4 linked regions of the Arabidopsis thaliana genome follow. The protein of the gene in region 1 purifies or fractionates together with the protein of each later gene. This does not show direct contact. Each region holds a gene or a part of one and is shown in the gene's direction. Other genes may lie near its edges. The genes, in order: UFD1, AT3G53580, AT1G12230 and GSH1.

Region 1 (4,763 bases):
GGTCATCCAGACATGACACGGTGCCAAACCATTCGGCATTGGCTGTGGCACCTCCCAGAGGAGTATGAGCAGTGACACAGATACCATGTTTCTGGCAGAATTTGACTAGAGAATCGCGTTGGAAGTAAGGATGTGTCTCGATCTGATTCACAGCAGGTTTGATCTTGGAGTAAGCCAAGCAATCTCTCGTTAGAAAGACATCATAGTTACTGCAAAAAACCTAATGGTCAAATAATTCATATATTGGCGACTAAACAAGAGAACTTGTAATGATAGTGAGAGAAGTTGAACCTGATTCCAATGCTGCGGACTAAACCCATAGAAACAAGCTTTTCCATGTCGTGCCATGTAGTTTCCAGAGAGATTGTTGTATCTATGTCCAATACCCCATCATCCCCCAAAGCACTATCGGTTGTTCCTATTCCTGCACAAGGCTTACATGTTACAGCTTATTACTCTGTGTGCCAATTGCTAGAGACTTGAGAAAACTTAATTTTCCAGCCAGTAACAAGGCTGAAATGCAATGGTCTCTACTCGAAACTGATAATATTCATGAACAAGGCTGAAGCCTAACCCGTGTGTTTTGTAGCTATGGGTATATGAACGAGGAAAAGGTCGAGGTAATCAAGTTGAAGTTTCTTGAGACTGTCTTTGCATGCCTCAATAACATGGCCATGGTCTGAACTCCATAGCTGCAAAACCAAGACAGAGAGCATTCGATCTGAAATGAACTGATATCAAAGGTATGTAGTAGTTTAACTTAAAGCCGTTTGGACCTTAGTCGTAATGAAGAGATCCTCCCTCTTGACAAGACCTGTCGTGAATGCTTCTGTAAGAGCCTCACCAACTTCAGCTTCGTTCTTATAATTAGCTGAACCAAGTAACCCCAAAAGATACTCATAAATCAGGATACAGAACAAAGCAACTCACTCACATGCAAAGAAACAAAAACAATTGTCTGTGATACAGCAAAGACTTAAGATCATTCTACGATTCCAAATTTCCAAATACTTAAAAACCCAAATCTTAAGACATAATTTCCAAGTAAGATTCCAACTTTCAACAAATTAAAACAAAACCTAATATTTTATTCACATATCCTGACAAACCCGAAGCAACAAAGATCAGAAAGAAAAGGTTTTAAGCAGTGTTAAGTTATACCAGCACAGTCGAGATGACGATAACCGATCTTGATGGCATCGATGATAAGGTCTCGAAGCTCTTCTTTCTCCATTCTCCAAACTCCTAAGCCGATGATCGGCATTTTGAAGCCACTGTTCAGTGTAATCTCCATTTCTTCTTCTTGCTTCTCTCCTCAATCCGTGATTGGGTAGATATCTGCTCAGAATTGAGAGTTTCCCAGTATGGTAAGTTGGTAACGCACACGTCAATATAAAGTGGTCATGATTCCTCACTATTCGAGGCCCAATGGGCTAGTACCGTTTTTTGTGAAGCCCAAACTGTTTTACAAAGACATGAATCAATACGCACCGTATGGGTATATATATATACAAGCAACGTTATCACAGGTCCTCAAAGTTTGCATCTTTACTTGGGTTGTGTCTGGAATCAATTACTTCCTAAAGGTAATTTTATTGGTCGGGCAGCTCAATCGGTGGTTTCTGAGTTCTTATTCTTCTCTGATAATCTCAAGACGAGCTTTTAATTTTGTAAAGTTTTTAGCTTTGGTATTGTTTGTATCGATCCCACTCTCAACTTTTGATCGGAATCTTCTGTTCTGGGGATTTCCGGTGAATTGTTTAGGAATAGGTTTCCAAGGATCTTACTTGGGTTTGTTTCAAAAGGTGGGATTTTGCAAGTTGTAGATGGTTCTTCGATTTTGTAGGTTTCTATTCTTCTGCTGAGATTCGAAATTGAGGTCTTAGGTTTTTGATAATAGCTTGTTTAGTTATCTGTTAAAGTCACTAACTTTGATGTTCCTTCCGGTCGGAATTGTTGGCCACAATTGATTATTGAAACCCTTAAATTAAAGAGTGCCCTCTTTTTCTCTTTTATGATTTGGATCTCTTGTAATTGACTTGTGTGAGGTTTCTTTTTCTGTAGGTTGCCATTTGTTAACTTACTCTGTTAGTCTACTACCACCAATAACTATGGTAAGTGTATTCAAAGCTTTCCTTTTTAACCGTTAGTCTTCACTCTAGCTTTTATATCTCGCACCCTTGGTTTGTTTGTCTAAACCTTTGGAATTTAAACTCGATGCAGTTTTTCGATGGATACCATTATCATGGAACAACCTTTGAGCAGAGTTACCGGTGTTATCCGGCATCTTTTATCGACAAGGTTTGATTTCATCTCTCTACTTTTAGTTTAATTCCCTGATAAGTGAATCTGAGAGTGCTCTTTTGTAATGTTAGAATCTTAGTCGTTGTCATGTTCTACTAAGTAAGTTCTATAAGAAAGCTGAGATCTAGTATCTAATTTCTATTTCCTTTTCTCTTCCCTGCAGCCACAACTTGAAAGTGGTGACAAGAGTAAGTCTTCTATCTAGACACCAATGTTTGTTTCCATCTGTATTGTTCAAGCCTGAGGTTTTAATTTGTGTTAATTCTATTTCAGTTATAATGCCACCATCAGCCCTTGATCGTCTAGGTATGCTCCTACTGGTTTTCTCTTTTGGATTTGGTCTAATATTTGTTTAACTTAGAAACATATCAAATCGCTAATATTGGGGACTTTACAGCCTCTTTGCATATTGACTATCCGATGCTGTTTGAGCTTCGTAATGCTGGAATTGAACGTGTTACACACTGTGGAGTCCTTGAGTTCATTGCAGAAGAAGGCATGATTTACATGCCATATTGGGTAAGAATCAGTTTCCTCTTTGTTTGTGAATCGAAGTACTCTGGATCATGTGGACTTACCAGACTGATTGTTTGCTTCTTTGATATAATCCAGATGATGCAGAATCTGCTGCTGCAAGAAGGAGACATTGTGAGAGTTAGAAATGTCACTCTTCCAAAGGGAACTTACGTTAAACTACAGCCCCACACAACAGACTTCCTGGATATATCCAACCCGAAAGCCATGTGAGTCCGACTTATTTCTACCCTCTTGTATTTGAGCCCTCATATACTTTCCCACATCATGTTGTTTATTGCTTAGAGAATGTATTATTATATCTAAGTTCTTCCCGTTTTCTGGCTCGTAGTTGTTTGATGTCACTCTTTTTATCTTGTTCCCAATATTCTTTACTGATAATTGAGTGAACGTTGCAGCTTGGAGACTGCTTTGAGAAATTATTCATGCCTAACTAGTGGGGATAGCATTATGGTTCCATACAACAATAAGAAGTACTTCATAGATATAGTTGAAACAAAGCCTGCTAACGCAATCAGCATCATAGAAACAGACTGTGAGGTTGATTTCGCACCTCCCCTCGATTACAAGGAGCCTGAACGTCCCACAGCACCTTCTGCAGCTAAGGGTCCGGCAAAAGGTATCTATCCATGGACATGAAATCATCAGATGGACTTACTATCAGCTTCAAGTTGTTAGATTCTCATGTGTTCTTTTCTTTCCAAATTTCACAGCTGAGGAGGTTGTGGATGAACCTGAACCAAAGTTCAACCCTTTCACCGGATCTGGAAGACGGTTAGATGGGAGACCTCTTGCCTATGAGCCAGCGCCAGCCTCTAGCTCAAAAGGCAAACAACCTGTTGTCGCTAATGGTAATGGACAGTCATCTGTAGCAAGTAGCTCAGAGAAAGCTACACGAGCTCAGGGAAAGCTTGTATTTGGGGCTAACGGAAACCGTGCTCCAAAAGAAGCTGCTCCGAAAGTACGCATTCAGAGTTTATTGATAATTGACAAAACAAAAACTGTAATGGAATTGAGAGACAAATGCATATGATTGTTCATCTCTTAATTTTTTTTTTCAGGTTGGAGCTGCAAAAGAGACAAAGAAAGAGGAACAAGAGAAGAAAGACGAGCCCAAGTTTCAAGCTTTCTCTGGGAAGAAGTATTCATTGAGGGGTTGATCAACTCACACAATGGGTCTACTCAGTCTATTTATGACCTCTCATGTTGTGTACTAAAAATACAAGGAAAACAAATAAGTGAATAAATCTCTGGCTCCTCTTGACGCGGCTTGTTTTCTTTATCAGATTCAATGCAACTTTCTACAATTCTCTGCTCTTTTATATTCTTACTGTAGGATATAAGATTCTGAGCACCTCACTAACATAATGTGTTCATGAATAGCAAGCCATGCTCTGTAGCTCTTTACCAATGAACCAATGACCAAAGAACATAGATGAGAAAGATGCTATGTCTGAGTTATAATATCCTCAACACATCTGTGATCTCTGGTTTCTGAGATAACACCGAAAACACTTTTTACCATAAATACATTTCTCGAGTTTTACTCAAAAAGAAAGATATAGAGACGAAAAGAAAAGAATATCTTGTTTTTCTGGGGATTTTCTGTGATCAAAACCAATTTTACAAAGATGCTTATGTGTGTCACCTTATTGCATAATGGCTCTGAGTGCATCCTTCACGTATTTATACTTGAATTCAAAACCAAGCTCTTTGGCTCTTACAGGTAATACCTTCTGTCCCTCCAGAACTACAGTGGCACCTTCTCCGAGCAAAGCTTTGAGTGCAAAGTCAGGAACTGGTAGCCACGATGGTCGGCTAAGAACACTGCCTAGCTGCTGGCACATTTCCCCAAGCCTAACCGGATTCGGCGCAGTCCCATTAATAACTCCTGCCAACAACCAGCACCAATAGCATTATGCTTC
Region 2 (4,901 bases), on another chromosome or scaffold:
ATCGAAAGAACATTAAGTAATAACTATTAACGCCTAAGTCTTGTATCAAAAAGTTAAGAAAAATGATTTGTGGCACTAATGGACTACTATATAGAAGAATGGGTCAAGAATATTCCACACACATGCAACAGACTCCAAAAGTTGTCTGCCAAGCTCCCGAACAAGATCAATGGGAAATGAACGGTAGCTGTTTTTGCGGAGAAAATCATATAAGCTTGGTCCAAGCTTCTCAAATACCTGTTGAAACCATTTAAACCCATGCGCAAGTTCTTTTAACTCACATAACATTTGGGCGTGAAGAAATTGCATTTTCCCCTCAAACTTGTCAAATAAAGGTAACAGCACTTACAATACAAATATGATTACGATAGTCAAACCAATTCCGTATTTGCACACAACTGCAAGGAATTGAAAAGCTTATACCAAATGTAATAAAATTAAAACTAGCGAAGAAATAGTAAGAGGAAAGAAATATTCTTACCGAGAACCACCGACATCATGCCTTGTAAGCCTCTGCAGCACGTCAATTTCGATCATGGCAGCTTCACGATACTTGTTTATGGACCGTATAACTTTGATTGCCACGACTTCTTTGTTTTTATTATCAAAGCATTCCAATACTTGTCCAAATGTACCTGCCAAAATACAATCCAATTGATTAAGATAACTGGCGACCAAATAAACATATTTCTCCTACACTTTGAAAAACAGAATAATCTAATCATAATGATTATATAAACATTTTCGCAAGAGATGACTAACCTTCACCCATTTTGCTGAGAATTTGATCTGCACGCACAATAGAAGAGGCATGTCAATGTAAACCTCCATGATAAAGTCTGTGAAACGTAACAGATAAGATGTCGAAAGACTCTGTAACATAAGACTCACATCGTGGAGTCAAAGTATCCCCAACAACAAAGACATAATGGCCGTCTTTATCATCTGGTCTCCAGGGAGGAGAGCCCTGACGAGGAAGGCCATTATAGAACATGTTTGGGTAAACAAAATTGGGAACTAAACCACTCGCAAACTCCGGACCATAGTACAACGGAGGTTGAAATACCTGAAAGAAAAAAACACATCAGCTGAAACTTAGCTCAAGCACACAAATAAAAATCTTAATTTCTTACTAGTTAACACAATTCGCAGTATCTTATGAAAACAACAAAAGAACAGTCCATTGATACCAATACAATATGTGGACAATTCGTTACCGTGGGTGGAGGAGGAGGAGGAAGAAGAGGCGGAGCAGCATCCCAAGTCAATCGGGGACGTTTCCTGGGACGCTTATCAACGATCCGATGAGGGAATTCAACATTCCTCTGAGTTTCTAAGATCATCGCGATCGAGCTAGCTTTATCACGATACACACTGCTTTGCATAAAGGATTAGAAAAATGCAAATCCAGAGCTGAAATTCAGAAACCCAGATTATGAACAGCGAGAGAATTGCGATTGAATTTCGAATCTAATTAGAGGGATAATAAGATTCCGAAATTCGAAACCCTAGTTATCTTCAATTTGGGGGGGATCTATCTCCAGAAGATAACTAAAAAAGGTGGGAAAAGTAACAGAAAAATATATTAAAAAAAGTGGAAGTAATGTAGCTAATAAACTAACCGCAAATTTCTCTCACACAGAGTAATTTAAAACGTTGAATTAGTCGCTGTCGTAATTTGATCGCCGGAATTCAGATCGGAGAAACAATAAAAATGCTCACTGAATTGGAATTGAAGAAAAAAATCTCAGGAGAAAATATTTAACAGCGAAAGAGACTGAAATGAGAGAGAGAGAGAGAACCTGAGGAAGAGAACAGCGAAGGAGCGACAGAGGCTCTGGAAGTTCTTAATGGGCTTTTTTAGTCAGGCCTTTATTAAATATATGTTGACTAAAGAAACGACATGATGTTATTACTGTTGAGGATAAAAACGACGTGGAGTTCAGTTATTTAATATCAGAACAATGGGGTGTTTTCTCCAAAGTCTTTTAATATGGAGGAGACGGGAGAGTCGTTGAACAAGAAAAATAATCTGAAGCAGCCATGGAGATAGCCGCCGTTAGCACTGTCTCCGTCGCGCCACAATCGCGCAGAGTGTCGAATGCGTTCTCCAGGAATCTAGGATCCGTATCTTCTCTTTCGTTTGGTTTCTTTGAGAAAGAATATTGCTTTAAGAGCCCTAGCCTTCGTGTGTCTGCAGCAGCTTCCATGGACGCCGTCACAGCTGAGAAATTTTCTCCGGCGAGTTTTCTAGACAAAAAAGAAACCGGAGTTCTTCACTTTGTGAAATACCATGGCCTCGGCAATGACTTCATTTTGGTACTTTTGTTCACCGTTGAATTCTCAATTTGGTAATTTAACCCGAAATGTATCGAATTCTTACAAATGTTTTCAAATTTTTCGTCTTTGGAATTGGATTTTGTAGGTCGATAACAGAGACTCATCGGAACCTAAGATTACTCAAGAACAGGCGGCGAAGCTGTGTGATCGAAACTTCGGTGTTGGTGCCGATGGAGTGATTTTTGCAATGCCAGGAGTCAATGGTACTGATTACGCAATGCGGATTTTCAATTCAGATGGTAGTGAACCAGAGGTGGGGCTTTTCGATGATAATGTCTGGTGATATGTTGTTGCGCTCGAAGTCATTGGCTTTTGATTTTGTTCTTGTAGATGTGTGGCAATGGAGTTCGATGCTTTGCTAGGTTCATTGCTGAGCTTGAGAATTTGCAGGGAAAACATAGGTATCTCTATCTGTATTGAGAAATATCTGTTTAGACTTGAGAGTTCCGAGTTTAGTCAAGCTTGATGTAACCTTAAGTGTCTATTTATTTGTTTTTGTAGTTTTACAATACATACCGGTGCCGGGTTGATTGTTCCAGAAATTCAAGATGACGGACAGGTAGATCATTTGGATTGATGTCTCATATTAGGTTTAGTCGTATTCATGATGATGGGTAAGGTAAAGTTTGGATTTTTATTTTTTGTGATTGATATTGGTACAGGTTAAGGTTGACATGGGGACACCGATTCTTAAAGCACAAGATGTGCCCACGAAATTGTCAGGGAACAAAGGTGAAGCTGTTGTTGAGGCAGAGCTAGTTGTTGATGGAGTAAGCTGGAATGTGACGTGTGTTAGTATGGGCAATCCTCACTGTATCACATTTGGTAAAAAGGGTGGACCGGTGCGTGTTTCGTTACTAGACTTCTAATCATATTATTTGTCTACACGTGAATTTCTTATCATTTGTAATTTTGGTTTGTGTCAACCAGAATCTGAAAGTTGATGATTTGAACTTACCAGAGATTGGTCCAAAGTTCGAGCATCATGAAATGTTCCCAGCTCGAACTAACACAGGTTAGTGGAGATTCATCGGCAGATGTATCCAGATTTCCATTGACTGATACAGCAAGACTTCTCGCTTATATTTGGATTTATATCCCTTTAGTTGTCTTACAGTTCTTTCTGTGTATCCGCAGAATTTGTTGAGGTCTTATCACGTTCTCATTTGAAAATGCGTGTGTGGGAGCGCGGAGCAGGTCCGCAAATTCCCCCCAATCTTCGAATATAATTCTCAGTTGATTATAAACAGTCTCTGTATCCTTATATGCTTAATGCTTACGCATACTTAAAACTGCAGGAGCAACTTTGGCCTGTGGAACTGGAGCTTGTGCTCTGGTTGTTGCAGCAGTCCTTGAAGGTCGAGCCGACAGGGTAAGTTTGGAATTTCAGAACTTAAAAAACTAGATAACAGTTTGCAAAATGGTACACTGGATTAGCAGTTTTTAAGCATTTTTTATGAAACCTGAATGTTGCATTGAATGGTTGGATGATTTGATTGGTAGACGATTGATGAGATTATGATTTTACTAAGTACTTTTCGTTCGCTTCGTCTCTTGTGGGAGAATCTTGTATTCGTTTTTTTTGGTTCTTCACTCTCACACAAATGTTTCTTGGATATTCATTGGAGCTTAAAGATTGTCATGAGCTGAGATTAGCTGCATGTGGTGACCTTGAGTTCCTCATATATGTATTGGTTTATGGTGGAACAGAAATGCACGGTGGATCTACCGGGCGGACCATTGGAGATAGAGTGGAAACAGGAAGACAACCATATCTACATGACGGGTCCTGCAGAAGCTGTTTTCTATGGATCAGCGCTGCTCTAATGGGCCTTCACAGTCGATGACTTCTCCTCTCTCTGTTGTTGTTCTTTTGGGGTCTGTGTGTTCTAATTCAAACGTGTGAAGCTCTTACCTGTCCTGCTAGATTGTGTTTCATGGATTTTGTTTATGTACTTTTATTGTTTTCAGAGTATCCAAACCTTTTGATTTGTTGCTGCATCTATGTTCATAATTTAAATCTTCTTTTCCTCGGAATATAGCTCTCTTCTACACTGATTCTCCACCAGACCAGACATTGTCAATGGCCGTGGTTGCACATAATGACAAGAGAAATGAAACTTGAGAGAATACAAAACCGCATATGTACATGATAAGATTGGTTAGCTTCCATATCTGCATAGATATTAGCTTATATGGTTAGGAATCAGGACAACATAACTGGTATCATAATATCTCCTAAGTATAATAACACAACTCTCATTAGTCTGATGTTAGCCTATCTCACACAAATATTTGTCAACGAGGTTTTACAGCGTGGAAAAAGCCACTGTCCAAGTTACTTCCAGGAAGTAAAGACAATGGCGAGGGTACAGAAGAAGATGACGGCGATGTTTTGGAGCAGAGTAATTTCGTTGTTTCTGAGAACATTTCGGGTTCTCGCACAGATTGGCAAATACCTTCAAGTTCTTTCACCACTTTTGACATTGGTGGTCTCGTCTCTGGTCTATCTTCACAACACCATAAAGCTAATTCCGCCAACTTCTTCACTTTATCGGGCG
Region 3 (5,462 bases), on another chromosome or scaffold:
GTCATGCCATTGACGTTTTAACATCATCTGCCATAGATTTTTCAGGTATGGAAGATGAAATTCTCCATGTTTTGAAGTATAGCTATGATAATTTAAATGGGGAGCTGATGAAATCCTGCTTCCTCTATTGCTCTCTGTTTCCTGAAGACTATCTTATTGATAAAGAGGGGTTGGTAGACTACTGGATAAGTGAGGGATTCATAAATGAAAAAGAAGGCAGAGAGAGGAATATTAACCAAGGTTATGAGATAATTGGTACCCTTGTCCGTGCATGTTTGTTGTTGGAGGAAGAAAGGAACAAATCAAACGTGAAAATGCATGATGTGGTTCGTGAGATGGCTCTATGGATATCATCCGATCTTGGGAAGCAAAAGGAGAAATGTATTGTGCGAGCTGGTGTTGGGTTACGTGAAGTACCAAAAGTCAAGGATTGGAACACTGTGAGAAAGATTTCTTTGATGAATAATGAGATTGAAGAGATATTTGACAGTCACGAGTGTGCTGCACTTACAACTCTATTTCTCCAAAAGAACGACGTGGTAAAGATCTCGGCTGAATTCTTTCGATGTATGCCTCATCTGGTGGTTTTAGATCTATCAGAGAATCAGAGTCTTAATGAATTACCAGAAGAAATATCAGAGCTGGCCTCTTTGAGATATTTCAACTTGTCATATACATGTATACATCAACTACCCGTTGGTTTATGGACATTGAAAAAGCTAATACATCTGAATCTCGAACACATGAGCAGTCTTGGGAGTATATTAGGGATATCAAATTTGTGGAATTTGAGGACATTGGGACTACGAGATTCCAGACTGTTGCTAGATATGAGTTTAGTGAAGGAGCTGCAGCTCTTAGAACATCTAGAAGTTATAACCCTAGATATATCATCAAGTTTGGTTGCAGAGCCATTGTTATGCTCTCAAAGGTTGGTGGAATGTATAAAAGAGGTAGATTTTAAGTACCTTAAGGAAGAATCAGTGAGAGTATTGACTTTGCCAACCATGGGTAATCTCCGCAAGCTCGGGATAAAAAGATGTGGAATGAGGGAGATAAAGATAGAGAGGACAACTTCATCATCGTCTCGGAACAAAAGTCCCACAACTCCATGCTTCTCAAACCTCTCCAGAGTCTTTATAGCTAAATGCCATGGTCTTAAGGATTTGACGTGGCTTTTGTTTGCTCCTAATCTTACTTTTCTTGAAGTTGGGTTCTCAAAGGAAGTAGAGGATATAATTAGTGAAGAGAAAGCTGAGGAGCATTCAGCTACGATTGTTCCTTTTAGGAAATTGGAGACACTACACCTGTTTGAATTACGCGGGCTCAAGAGAATCTATGCAAAGGCTCTGCATTTTCCGTGTCTGAAAGTTATCCACGTAGAAAAATGTGAAAAGCTGAGAAAGCTTCCATTGGATTCTAAAAGTGGGATCGCGGGTGAAGAACTTGTCATATATTATGGAGAGAGAGAATGGATAGAAAGGGTTGAATGGGAGGACCAAGCAACTCAACTCCGTTTCTTACCTTCATCCAGGTGGCGGTGGAGAGAAACATAATGAACTTCACTTTCTTCTACAAACTTTTGTTGTCATGGTCTAAAGACATTTGCCGGTGTGTAAATCTCTTCCTTGTCTCTTCTTGTTTGCATAACCGTTCTCATCGTTCTTTTGGTTAGTGATCATTGGATTTGTACTTATCTCTTTCTCTAAACGATGAGTGTTTGTTTCGGCTTCATAGAAACATTACACAGAGACTCATGAGAAAATGAATAAAAACTTGCAAGTTCCTAACCATTGTAATAAAATAATAATTAACTGTCTTATCTCGTTGACAGTTTTCGGATAAATTAGAAAAGGCGGGACCCACGTTAATTGGAAGATATCAACGGCTGGATCTGCTTACTCAGATCAACTTCAGCGAAAAAAATGCCACTCTCGTTGCAATCTCCGCCTTGTGCAACTCTCTCTGCTTCAATCCGAGTACTCTCCTCTTCGCTTACTTCTTTCAATCGCATGTATTTGTGCATTGTTTGTTTTTTATCTAATGGATGCGAGCTTTGAACTTCGCAGAAGGGACGATGGAAGACGCTCGCCGCCGGATTCTCCGTTACTCCTCTTCCCGCCGTTAACTTCAGTCTTCGGCGATCGATTCCTCGGATTCTTGCTTCCGCTAGTTCCTCCTCCTCTCCTGCGTCTTCGTCTCTCGAAGCTGGTATTTGTTTATATCTTTGATGATCGTGTTTCTCATTAATTAATAAATACGATTTCTGGAAAGACAAAACAAAAGTATGGGTTTTTGAAAGATTGACTACGATTCAAGCTTTCTTTTTATGTGGGTTTGTTTTTATACTGTCTTGAGTCACTTGTTAGGAAACTATGCTTGACAAAGTTGCTATTTTTGGTTTACCTTTCTTAGTTCAGGACCTTCTGGTTGCTTTAGTTCTTAGCTGAACAGTGTTGATTTATGGTTGAATTTGAAGAAACAAATTGTGTATTTGGTGTTTAACATTGTTCTTGGATGATATCGGTTTTCCTAAAGTTCTCAACTTTATTTCTTCTGGAATGCTTTTAGATGATCATTGAGTTGTTTGATGAAATTGTGTTTTTTTTTTCAGGTGAGAACAATGAGCTAAATGCTGTTTCAGCTTTTAGTGAGATTGTTCCTGATACTGTCGTTTTCGATGACTTTGAGAGGTATGATATATATCTCTACTTCATGAGACTTTAGTTACACTGGTATATCATAAAAATGGAGTCAGACATTCTTAACTTGAGATTGTACTGAGTTTTTCTCTGGATCGAGGATACAAGAAAGAAATTAGCTTAAGATGTAAAAACTCACTCCCTCACAAGTATAACTTCTAACCTTTAGTTATTGTGAAAACCAGATAGTATAACCTTTTGGTTTTCTAATTGTGCTGGATTGATACCTTTGTTGTATTTTACTGATCTGCAGGTTTCCGCCGACTGCAGCTACTGTTAGCTCTGCTCTTCTTCTGGGTATCTGTGGTCTACCTGATACCATTTTCCGCGTAAGCATTTCAAGAGTTTTGATTCTTAGATGATAGTATATGACATCTCTTGTTTTGGGCTCATTTAATTTTGACATTTTTACATCATGATTAGAATGCTGTGGACATGGCTTTGGCGGATTCTTCTTGTGCAGGGCTTGAAACCACAGAATCTCGACTCTCTTGCTTTTTCAATAAGGTTGATCTTCTTATCCCTTATCTGTTTTTCCACTTCCAGATCTTTGCTGCTTAAAAGCTTTTTTTGCCCTTATTACTGATGAGAAAAGTGCAGGCTATTGTCAACGTAGGTGGCGATCTTGTCAAACTCGTTCCAGGTCGAGTTTCTACTGAAGTGGATGCACGTCTTGCTTATGACACAAATGGCATTATCCGCAAGGTAGTTACTACACCATATATATAAGATAATTTGATTATATGTCTCCTGTATCTTCAAATCACTAACTTGTGATGTGATGATGTGTGTAGGTTCATGATCTGCTGAGACTATACAATGAAATCGATGTACCACACGACCGGCTCCTATTCAAAATCCCTGCAACTTGGCAAGTAAGATTATTTTCAGCAAATACCAAAGCTTTACCTTTTACTGGTCTCTTAGTATTGTGCTTATCCCTCTCATAGGGTATTGAAGCTGCAAGATTGTTGGAATCAGAGGGAATCCAAACGCATATGACCTTTGTTTACAGGTACCATAAAACATACCTTTTGACTCTTTTATTTTAGAATTGTCTATCCATCTGATTTGTTTACTTTATAATTTCGTTTTGCATTCATCAACAGCTTTGCACAAGCTGCAGCAGCTTCTCAAGCCGGTGCTTCTGTCATTCAGATTTTCGTCGGTCGCCTCAGGGTAACCATTTTTTAAACAGATGCTGCTAAGTGATTTCAGTGATATGCCAAAGTTAATATCTTAAAATCATTAGGATTGGGCGCGTAATCATTCGGGAGATACCGAGATTGAATCTGCTATTAAATCGGGAGAAGATCCTGGTTTGGCCTTGGTCAAAAGATCATATAACTACATTCACAAGTATGGTTACAAGTCCAAGCTGATGGCTGCTGCTGTCCGGAACAAACAAGACTTGTTCAGTCTTCTCGGGTAAACTCAAACTTCCAAATCATAGCTTCGACCATCAATGGATTCTGATCACATTCTAACTTTCAATGTTCTCTTCAATCTCAGGGTCGATTATGTCATTGCACCATTAAAGGTACTGCAATCTCTTAAAGATTCACCCGCCATTCCCGATGATGAAAAATACTCATTTGTTCGGAAACTTACTCCTGAAACTGCAACACATTACCACTTCACCAACAAAGAGGTTAGTTCTGAAGCTAACCAACACTCATTTGCTTCTGGTTTCACTAAACCAGTGTCTCACCCTGTTTGTTTGATTCTGGTTTAGCTGGTCAAATGGGACCAGCTAAGCTTGGCTTCATCTATGGGTCCTGCATCAGTGGAGCTTTTATCAGCCGGTGTTGAAGGTTATGCGAACCAAGCGAAACGTGTTGAAGAGCTTTTCGGGAAGATTTGGCCACCTCCTAATGTCTAAATACACAGCTTTTCTCTTCATCAATAAGGATCTGTATCAATAAGAGAACTAAGTGTCCATGTTACTTGAACACTACCCTGTTTATCTTCCTGCCCTCTTTATCTTTTTCGTGGCTTGTTGTTCATCATGTCTGAGACTTGGGCTACAAGATAAGAGACTTTAGTTTTAAGACTAAAAGTCTAAAACCAAATCCTTTTCATGTTGTTTCGTCTGAACTTCGGTCTTTTTTTCTCTGTAATTGACTTAGTCGGTTCTCAGATCTCTGAGTCATGATTGTACCGATAAACCAAAATTGAACCGATTGTTTTTGTAAAACCAATCGGGTTCTATTAAAGTTCAAACTAAACTAAAAATTTAACTATGGACTGAAAATAAATAAAAAAATTCTTAGACAAAAAAAAGTTGGACATAGGCCAAACACTGTTTGTTTGACAAATTCTAAGATAAATGATAAAAAGATGAGTTTTTTTAGGGCGAGAAAGACGGTTTAAATCCAAAAAAAAAATTGGGAATTTATGTGTACCAAATGATAAATATCATGAAGACAATGAAGAGGATCAACATAAACTTATCAATCTCAGTCAGATGCATTATCTGATGTCTAGTCACTTCTCTATCCACCTTCTTTAATGTCATTTAGTAATTTTCACACAAGCAGAAACGTACCATGTTATAAATCTTATCTTCTAATGTTTACAAATTCGTACGTCTTACATTTAGTTGTTGACAAAAAAAAAAGATAATTGAAATTTAGTTCAATCATTTTTTTCCTGTGTGATTGCGTTTTTCCTTTGACGACATGTTGTTTGTGATTAATTATTGTGGGTTCATACCAATAATTATGAAATACCTAGATTATTTTTTAAAATATAGCTCGA
Region 4 (7,850 bases), on another chromosome or scaffold:
TGATCTATTTTCTAGCTTGTTTTCTAGAAAGAAGTGACCCTGGTCTATACGACCTCCTTAGTCAATCCATGCAAATCATAACGTCCCCATCTCGATGTCTACCAATTTAACGTTTCCTTTTTAATTTGTTAGATATGCCCGTTTTATTTTGACTTGCTCAAACTGTATAGGGCCATCACGAGCTAAACTGATGTGACTTGGGCCTGGTGAGAGTCATGAAGCTCCGGAATGTTGTAGCTCGATGTTACCTATATAAGCTTTCTTTATGGGCCTTGAATAGGCCGAGTTCAAATGTGAGAATCCAACACCAACAGCCACTTAGAACAACTTTTCAAGATTGTGTATCATCTACCTCTTCGGCCATATTAAGAATATGTGTAGTTGGGCTTCGGTGAGACTTATGAGTTGGGCTTGCCATGACAATCCCAGATGTTACTTTTCTCTTAATCCCTAGGAAGAAAATCTTTTGGTAACTTCAAATCATTATAAGCGCAAATAGCTAGCTACTATGTCTGATGCATTTAGTTACTTTGTGCTGAGGATTGGGGTCTTTAATGTGAAATCGAAAGTTTAGGGTTTCTCGTGGATATTAGAAAACGTTAAGGTTGGAATATAAAGGAAAAGATTAACTGAAAGAGTCTGCATAGCACACTCCAGCTTAATTCCGTATCGTTTTAGGATTTCTGACTTCACTCTTTGACGGCTATATATTAATGTGATTTTCCATTATGTCAAATGTTAATTATTATTTTTTAGATAAGTTTTCGTGAAAGTTGAAACGGTGTGACTTGTGAGTGACGAATGTATAGGAAGAAACTGTGGAGGTGGGTTCCGTTTAAGGCTTTGGTGGTGTGGAGATTAGAAGTCATGGCCGCCATTTTTGAGTCACGCACGTGTCCACCTACCTTACCTTCTTATAACTTATTCATTCATGTGTTCGATAAAATATATTTGATATTAATTTAAACATACAACATAGAAGTGCACAATTACAAGAGTTTTTTTTGTTTTTCTATTTTTGTCGCTACAAGAGTTTTTAGTTTTTACTTACGTTACGTATATGCAAACGCAAGCAATTCTGCATCTATTTGTTTTTCAATGGCAGCCATAATTGATATCAAATAAATAAATTACTAATGCCACATGTTTTTTTAGCACAGCTTCATAATTCATAGGAGTATCGATATGTAACACAATAATGGATCTTGTAGTAAAATTTGAATAGAGTCAATTAAAAAAAAAAAAAAAGATAGAGTCAATCTGTGCGATATAATGAAATTAGAACGAAGCTCGAATTTTAAGATTTTAAATTATAACAAAACTCAAATGTGTTATAACATTCAAAAAAAAAAAAAAAAAAAAACTTAACACAATAATTAGTTTTTCTCATTTTGAGAAAACCAAATTCTCGAAAGTATGTGAAAAATACCATGGAATTTGAAGGATTTTGTAGATTACCAAATAGTAAACAAAATTTCTAAACTTGTTTTACTATGATTTTGTCACGAATACAAAATCAAACTCAGATAGAGAAATTAGGTGATATATAGCCATAATTGTGTTTACTACTAAAAATACAGTTATTTCTAAAAATAAGGTAAATGACCACCATGGTACCATACTATTCCATGAACAATATAGACAAATAGCCTTCCATTGTTATAATTGGGATATTGTCAAATCCATCCCGTATCTATATATATTATTATACACAAGTAGAACTTTTGATGGTGATTCATTATCTACCATTCACATGTTTTTGTATCATTAAATTGTTGATTATAAAAGCAGGATTTGATTCCACCTACTAAGAAGTAGGAAATATAAAAACATAACGCCAATTTTCGTTCATCAGAACCAAGATTTTTTTGTCGACACAATCAAACCAAATAGATAATGATACTGTTTTTTATAGTAGTATATATATTTCTTTTCCTATAGAGTATTTTATCTGAGGTCATGTGGTTGGTTAGTGACACACTTTTCATTATTTTACGTTCTAAATTAAATATCGTAAAGTTAAACCTCGTTTAAAGTATACTATAAAGAATAGAAATATCATTAATTCATTATACACACTATAAAGTTAACCTTTGTTTAAACTACTAATAAACTGGTTATTTAAAAAACTATTAGGGTTAAATTTGTGAGAAATGGAAAAGTAAGAGGCAAAAAACGAAAGAATCTTTTATTACAATGATTATTAATTTTATCAACTTTCTTTTATAGACAGCTCAGCTCCACTGATCGGCTCATGCTCCACTGATCAACTTTCTTTCATTTTTTTATCAGTTTCTCATTTCTCTCTCAGTCGCATATAAATTTGAAACGCCGATTCGTTTTTGCTCTTTAAGCTTTCTTCTTGATTTCGACGGTGTCTCTCAATCTCCGTCAAGCTTGACGAATTTCAGGTGTGATTTGCTTCTCTTCTTCTTCGCTTTCTGGACTTGTGGATTTTGGTTTTTGATTGATTTGTTCTGCTTTTTTTTTTTTGGTTGAATCTTCGCTTTTTCTCATGATTTTTTTTTGGCTGTTGCATGATTTTGGTTTTGTTAGAGTCGAATTTTTGCAGATTTTTGCTTTGATTTGATTTTTGTTGTTGTTGTTGTTTCTGGTTTGGTGATACACGAATTTTGATTTGTTCTTCCAGATGATAGTTCAATTCTGTGGTAGCTGCTGATTCTAATTATGTGATATATGTTATTAGAATTGAGAAAAATGCAGTTATTTGTGATTTCTCATAGCTTATGATGAATTGTTATAATTGCAGGAGCTATATATACCATGGCGCTCTTGTCTCAAGCAGGAGGATCATACACTGTTGTTCCTTCTGGAGTTTGTTCAAAGGCTGGAACTAAAGCTGTTGTTTCGGGTGGCGTGAGGAATTTGGATGTTTTGAGGATGAAAGAAGCTTTTGGTAGCTCCTACTCTAGGAGTCTATCTACCAAATCAATGCTTCTCCATTCTGTTAAGAGGAGTAAGAGAGGGCATCAATTGATTGTTGCGGCAAGTCCTCCAACGGAAGAGGCTGTAGTTGCAACTGAGCCGTTGACGAGAGAGGATCTCATTGCCTATCTTGCCTCTGGATGCAAAACAAAGGACAAATATAGGTACAGTTTGATGCTTATATGTTCTGTTAAAATGCTACTTAGTGTTTGTAATTGTGACATATTTCTTTGTTTGTGCTCTTTTACGGTGTTGGTATTGTTTGAATTCATCCAGATTGTTTGTCTATTGGAGAAATATTCTGTTTTGCTAACTTAACATTGTGAGTTTTCAGAATAGGTACAGAACATGAGAAATTTGGTTTTGAGGTCAATACTTTGCGCCCTATGAAGTATGATCAAATAGCCGAGCTTCTTAATGGTATCGCTGAAAGATTTGAATGGGAAAAAGTAATGGAAGGTGACAAGATCATTGGTCTGAAGCAGGTTAACATTCTCCTGTGTTTCATCTTTTGAGCCGTTTATTATTTATATACATTTTCAGCCTGTAGAACATGTTAGCTTCATATACAACACAATGATCGGTATATTATAAGGTTTCAGTCTTTTTTTTTTTTTTGCTGTAGATAACTCGTTCTGTCCTTTTGTTGACCAGGGAAAGCAAAGCATTTCACTTGAACCTGGGGGTCAGTTCGAGCTTAGTGGTGCACCTCTTGAGACTTTGCATCAAACTTGTGCTGAAGTCAATTCACATCTTTATCAGGTAATTTCAAAGATAATTATTGCCAATGCTCTCACCCTAAAACGTGACAAATAACCAACTATCTACGGATGTCACAGGTAAAAGCAGTTGCTGAGGAAATGGGAATTGGTTTCTTAGGAATTGGCTTCCAGCCCAAATGGCGTCGGGAGGATATACCCATCATGCCAAAGGTATGACGCTTTCTCTATTCTTAAGATTGAAGAAAGTTAACATCTGTTTGTTTCTAATTCAGATAATATTATCTGATTCTACATAGCCAACGTTCGGATTATTTCTTGGTGTTTGTGTTAAGTTTTCCTATGACGAGTCAGGCAGTAAGATTTGACATAGTGTAATGTGTTCTGTGCAGGGGAGATACGACATTATGAGAAACTACATGCCGAAAGTTGGTACCCTTGGTCTTGATATGATGCTCCGAACGTGTACTGTTCAGGTTAGATTAATATTCTGACTTTGCGCCTTTTCATAATTTCCTTAAACTAAACTTTCCAGTTCTCATCAATAATCTTATTTTGAAACTTATAGAAACTGCATTACTTGCAATCTTGACAGGTTAATCTGGATTTTAGCTCAGAAGCTGATATGATCAGGAAGTTTCGTGCTGGTCTTGCTTTACAACCTGTGAGAAGCTCGATCTCTTTGTGGCATAACCAGAAACTTTTATTAACGATTTTGACTAACCATTGCCTCACTATTATCTAAATTCAACAGATAGCAACGGCTCTATTTGCGAATTCCCCTTTTACAGAAGGAAAGCCAAACGGATTTCTCAGCATGAGAAGGTATCTAGATTCAGTTGTTATGATCCCCGATATCTTTTTGAATTAGTTTCCCTCCCACCTTATAACTCTGGTATGTTTTGACAGCCACATATGGACAGACACTGACAAGGACCGCACAGGAATGCTACCATTTGTTTTCGATGACTCTTTTGGGTGAGTATCGATGTTTAATCTATGAAAAACAATTACATTACATTGGTTGGTTTGGTATGAGAAGCTTCTCAAAAACCAATGACTCTGTCTCGCATTCTTGATGAGTTATTGGAAAATTGATATGTGCTATTCTGTGGATTTTCTTACATATGTTTGTGTTCAAGATAGAAAGATGCTTTGGATCTTTATCCTTCTCTTGAAACAGCATGGCTAATCTTAATTTTATTGCTCTCTTTTGTTCTTATCTGGTATAGGTTTGAGCAGTATGTTGACTACGCACTCGATGTCCCTATGTACTTTGCCTACAGAAAGAACAAATACATCGACTGTACTGGAATGACATTTCGGGTCAAAATCTATCCTTAATCTTTTCTGTTAGGTTCTATAACTGTTTCATTGCAAGGAATTGGCAAATTGAAAACCATGGGATCTTCTTGAATTATATCTAATCTCATAATATTCTTCATGCTGCAGCAATTCTTGGCTGGAAAACTTCCCTGTCTCCCTGGTGAACTGCCTTCATATAATGATTGGGAAAACCATCTGACAACAATATTCCCAGAGGTTAATCATCTGCCTCAAGAGTCTTTCAATCAGCCTATGACTTTCATTTCCCTGTCTTATGTTGAAGTCTGACAACGTTCCATAACACTAGGTTCGGTTGAAGAGATACTTGGAGATGAGAGGTGCTGATGGAGGTCCCTGGAGGAGGCTGTGTGCCCTGCCAGCTTTCTGGGTAACTACATCTATTAGCACATATATATTTCGTGCTTAATGAGAATGTTTCAAAAAGTATTGACTGTTGTTTTGATTTTATCTACAAATTTCAGGTGGGTTTATTATATGATGATGATAGTCTCCAAGCTATCCTGGATCTGACAGCTGACTGGACTCCAGCAGAGAGAGAGATGCTAAGGAACAAAGTAATAACAAGACGCACCACATTTACATTTTCTTATTCCACAGTTAGAAAACATCTTGTAATAAACTAATACTTGATTTCCAACAGGTCCCAGTTACTGGCTTAAAGACTCCTTTTAGGGATGGTTTGTTAAAGCATGTCGCTGAAGATGTCCTGAAACTCGCAAAGGTGTGTTTGTATGAACCCTCTTAGAAACTTCGAGCCAGCTTTCTATCCCGTCTGGTCCAGCTTCTAACTATTGGACTTATTTTCTCTTTGTTTCTCAGGATGGTTTAGAGCGCAGAGGCTACAAGGAAGCCGGTTTCTTGAACGCAGTCGATGAAGTGGTCAGAACAGGTAAATGAAGTTTCCTAATGCATAATTGAATTCCACACCGACATTTTGTTTGATAACCTGGTGGTGAAATTTGGTTTTGAAATGACAGGAGTTACGCCTGCGGAGAAGCTCTTGGAGATGTACAATGGAGAATGGGGACAAAGCGTAGATCCCGTGTTCGAAGAGCTGCTGTACTAAGAAAATGGGACGTGAACAAAAGGTGTCTATAAACCTTTGGGTGTGAGTTTATGCTATCTGAAGAATTCGAGTCTCCGGAATAAGGATTTTTTTTTTTGTTGTAATCGGATTTTAAAAACTGATTTTGTTTTAGAAATTCGAAGCATTGAAAAGCAGAAGAAAAATTGTATGTACTAAACGATTTCGGTGTGGGAAATCGTTTGGGAGGGTGTGTTTGGATCTTGAATAAATTACCCATTTTTCTTGTCACAAATTTGTCTACATTTAACGAAATAACTCAAAACTGATTTCAAGGCAAAGGCGACGGATGGGATAATCTAGGCTGTGTAGTGGAAAGTTTTGATGTTTAGTAATTTGGCAATGTATGTTTTTTTCTAAATGGGAGAGCATCTTCGATGTAGACATTTACGAGCTTTTCCTTTAATAGGTTTTGGCTAGTGAAGAACACTGCTTTCATAATTGAATCCACCAGACTCCGCGTAAACTAAACTGATTACAACACGATGATCCTGGCCGTCGGTAATTATCGTAAAACAAGAAGATAGTGGCACTTAGGTGACAGGATAATATGTAAACCCTACCAAGGCGTCCCTACAAAATGATGAGTGATGACTGATGAGAGTGAGAAAAACCGAGTCTCCACAGTCCACACACTGCCTTACCTAATTAATATACCCACCTTTCATTCATGTATGTTACGTCAACGTTTTTATGTCCGTTAAAACTGTAATCTACATAAGAGATCATAATTTTTAAAATCTCCATGTATTTCGTTGATACTTTAATTTGGCACGTTTCTAGTTTTTGAGATCAAATGTTTTTAATCTGCTTCTAGTCTTATTTTTCCTAAACCTTAAACTGTAAACCAATTGCTTTTTCACATAACCTTGCTTGTTTTCAATTTTAAAATTTAAGTCCAATATTTGAAACAACCTAACAAATGTCGTCTATGGCAACCAAAAAAAAATAAAAAATCAAAACAATTTGCTAAAAAGGAAATTGATTAAAATTGATTTCTTTCATTTAAATTGGAATTTAATATATTAGGTAAACATGTAAACGCAATCGCAATTTTTATGAGAGACTTCGGGCCGGTTCGTTTAAGTGTCGCTGCGACTATAACTAGCGACTGGCTTTAAAAACGACTGAGTTTTGTTTGTTTTTATTGTTTTTTTTTTAAGTTCGAATATGTCGTATAGATCTGTAAAATAATTCAAATGTGGCTTTGTCCCATAGATTGGTTTTGATTATGCAATCATCTATCACAACAGTGGAACATTATGCAATCATTTATTGTCTATCAAATTAATTATGGTTATGAAATATGAAGGATCTTACATCTTAAAAAGTGTTAATTATGATCGCATGCCATTTAGATTCTTTCAAAAATTCAGTTTGAAAGTGGAAAGCGCGCCAAAATTTGCAGAAATCAAAAATCCGTTAAAAAACGTTACCAAAAAAATATTTTAAAACGGGCCAAAATATTTCAAATGTGGATTCCATAGATTGGTTTTGATTATGCAATCATGTATTACAACAGTGGGTTGAAATCACTTCTCCTACCTGATCATTAGCTTCAAAAGTGCCTTGGCTACAGTAATAGGATTTTTCATGTATATGAAAATATTAGTTCAAATGGGAGACAATCTTTTGAATTGGTATAGAGGTTGTCAGGTTGATCAATGATTCAGGGGAAGAGTGATGACAAATACTAAGAAATGATCCAGGAGGTTGTCATCCGTTTTCCTATTAATAGAATTGGATAAAAACTT

The links.
Region 2: the proteins of UFD1 (region 1) and AT3G53580 fractionate together in Arabidopsis thaliana (co-fractionation; one large-scale study listed by BioGRID). This does not show direct contact.
Region 3: the proteins of UFD1 (region 1) and AT1G12230 fractionate together in Arabidopsis thaliana (co-fractionation; one large-scale study listed by BioGRID). This does not show direct contact.
Region 4: the proteins of UFD1 (region 1) and GSH1 fractionate together in Arabidopsis thaliana (co-fractionation; one large-scale study listed by BioGRID). This does not show direct contact.

Annotation. Positions count from the first base shown.
Region 1 is NC_003071.7:9,106,015-9,110,777, forward strand, and holds UFD1 (ubiquitin fusion degradation 1), read left to right. Parts: upstream 1-1,551; 5' UTR 1,552-1,826; coding exon 1,827-1,842; exon of another isoform or gene 1,843-2,064; coding exon 2,065-2,114; intron 2,115-2,223; coding exon 2,224-2,301; intron 2,302-2,467; coding exon 2,468-2,492; intron 2,493-2,577; coding exon 2,578-2,610; intron 2,611-2,701; coding exon 2,702-2,823; intron 2,824-2,916; coding exon 2,917-3,047; intron 3,048-3,236; coding exon 3,237-3,457; intron 3,458-3,551; coding exon 3,552-3,799; intron 3,800-3,899; coding exon 3,900-3,998; 3' UTR 3,999-4,247; downstream 4,248-4,763. Other genes in the region: AT2G21260 (NAD(P)-linked oxidoreductase superfamily protein), read right to left, coding at 1-209, 292-424, 575-692, 777-871, 1,162-1,294; SULA (NAD(P)-binding Rossmann-fold superfamily protein), read right to left, coding at 4,488-4,729.
Region 2 is NC_003074.8:19,862,741-19,867,641, forward strand, and holds AT3G53580 (diaminopimelate epimerase family protein), read left to right. Parts: upstream 1-1,890; 5' UTR 1,891-2,043; coding exon 2,044-2,319; intron 2,320-2,425; coding exon 2,426-2,593; intron 2,594-2,670; coding exon 2,671-2,741; intron 2,742-2,841; coding exon 2,842-2,899; intron 2,900-3,002; coding exon 3,003-3,182; intron 3,183-3,270; coding exon 3,271-3,355; intron 3,356-3,477; coding exon 3,478-3,537; intron 3,538-3,638; coding exon 3,639-3,712; intron 3,713-4,050; coding exon 4,051-4,167; 3' UTR 4,168-4,394; downstream 4,395-4,901. Other genes in the region: FC1 (serine/threonine-protein kinase AFC1), read right to left, coding at 123-237, 350-398, 482-635, 763-789, 892-1,066, 1,218-1,385; AT3G53590 (LRR receptor-like Serine/Threonine-kinase), read right to left, coding at 4,639-4,901.
Region 3 is NC_003070.9:4,146,125-4,151,586, forward strand, and holds AT1G12230 (Aldolase superfamily protein), read left to right. Parts: upstream 1-1,837; 5' UTR 1,838-1,925; coding exon 1,926-1,979; intron 1,980-2,069; coding exon 2,070-2,211; intron 2,212-2,614; coding exon 2,615-2,693; intron 2,694-2,785; coding exon 2,786-2,851; intron 2,852-2,955; coding exon 2,956-3,031; intron 3,032-3,125; coding exon 3,126-3,209; intron 3,210-3,302; coding exon 3,303-3,407; intron 3,408-3,496; coding exon 3,497-3,577; intron 3,578-3,652; coding exon 3,653-3,717; intron 3,718-3,811; coding exon 3,812-3,881; intron 3,882-3,954; coding exon 3,955-4,130; intron 4,131-4,214; coding exon 4,215-4,353; intron 4,354-4,437; coding exon 4,438-4,584; 3' UTR 4,585-4,932; downstream 4,933-5,462. Other genes in the region: RPS5 (Disease resistance protein (CC-NBS-LRR class) family), read left to right, coding at 1-1,556.
Region 4 is NC_003075.7:12,101,686-12,109,535, reverse strand, and holds GSH1 (glutamate-cysteine ligase), read left to right. Parts: upstream 1-1,840; 5' UTR 1,841-2,411; intron 2,412-2,770; 5' UTR 2,771-2,784; coding exon 2,785-3,110; intron 3,111-3,280; coding exon 3,281-3,431; intron 3,432-3,600; coding exon 3,601-3,708; intron 3,709-3,785; coding exon 3,786-3,878; intron 3,879-4,057; coding exon 4,058-4,141; intron 4,142-4,260; coding exon 4,261-4,329; intron 4,330-4,419; coding exon 4,420-4,490; intron 4,491-4,574; coding exon 4,575-4,643; intron 4,644-4,897; coding exon 4,898-4,991; intron 4,992-5,117; coding exon 5,118-5,207; intron 5,208-5,298; coding exon 5,299-5,379; intron 5,380-5,473; coding exon 5,474-5,566; intron 5,567-5,652; coding exon 5,653-5,733; coding exon of another isoform or gene 5,734-5,757; exon of another isoform or gene 5,758-5,831; coding exon 5,832-5,901; intron 5,902-5,989; coding exon 5,990-6,078; 3' UTR 6,079-6,175; exon of another isoform or gene 6,176-6,437; intron 6,438-7,228; 3' UTR 7,229-7,401; downstream 7,402-7,850.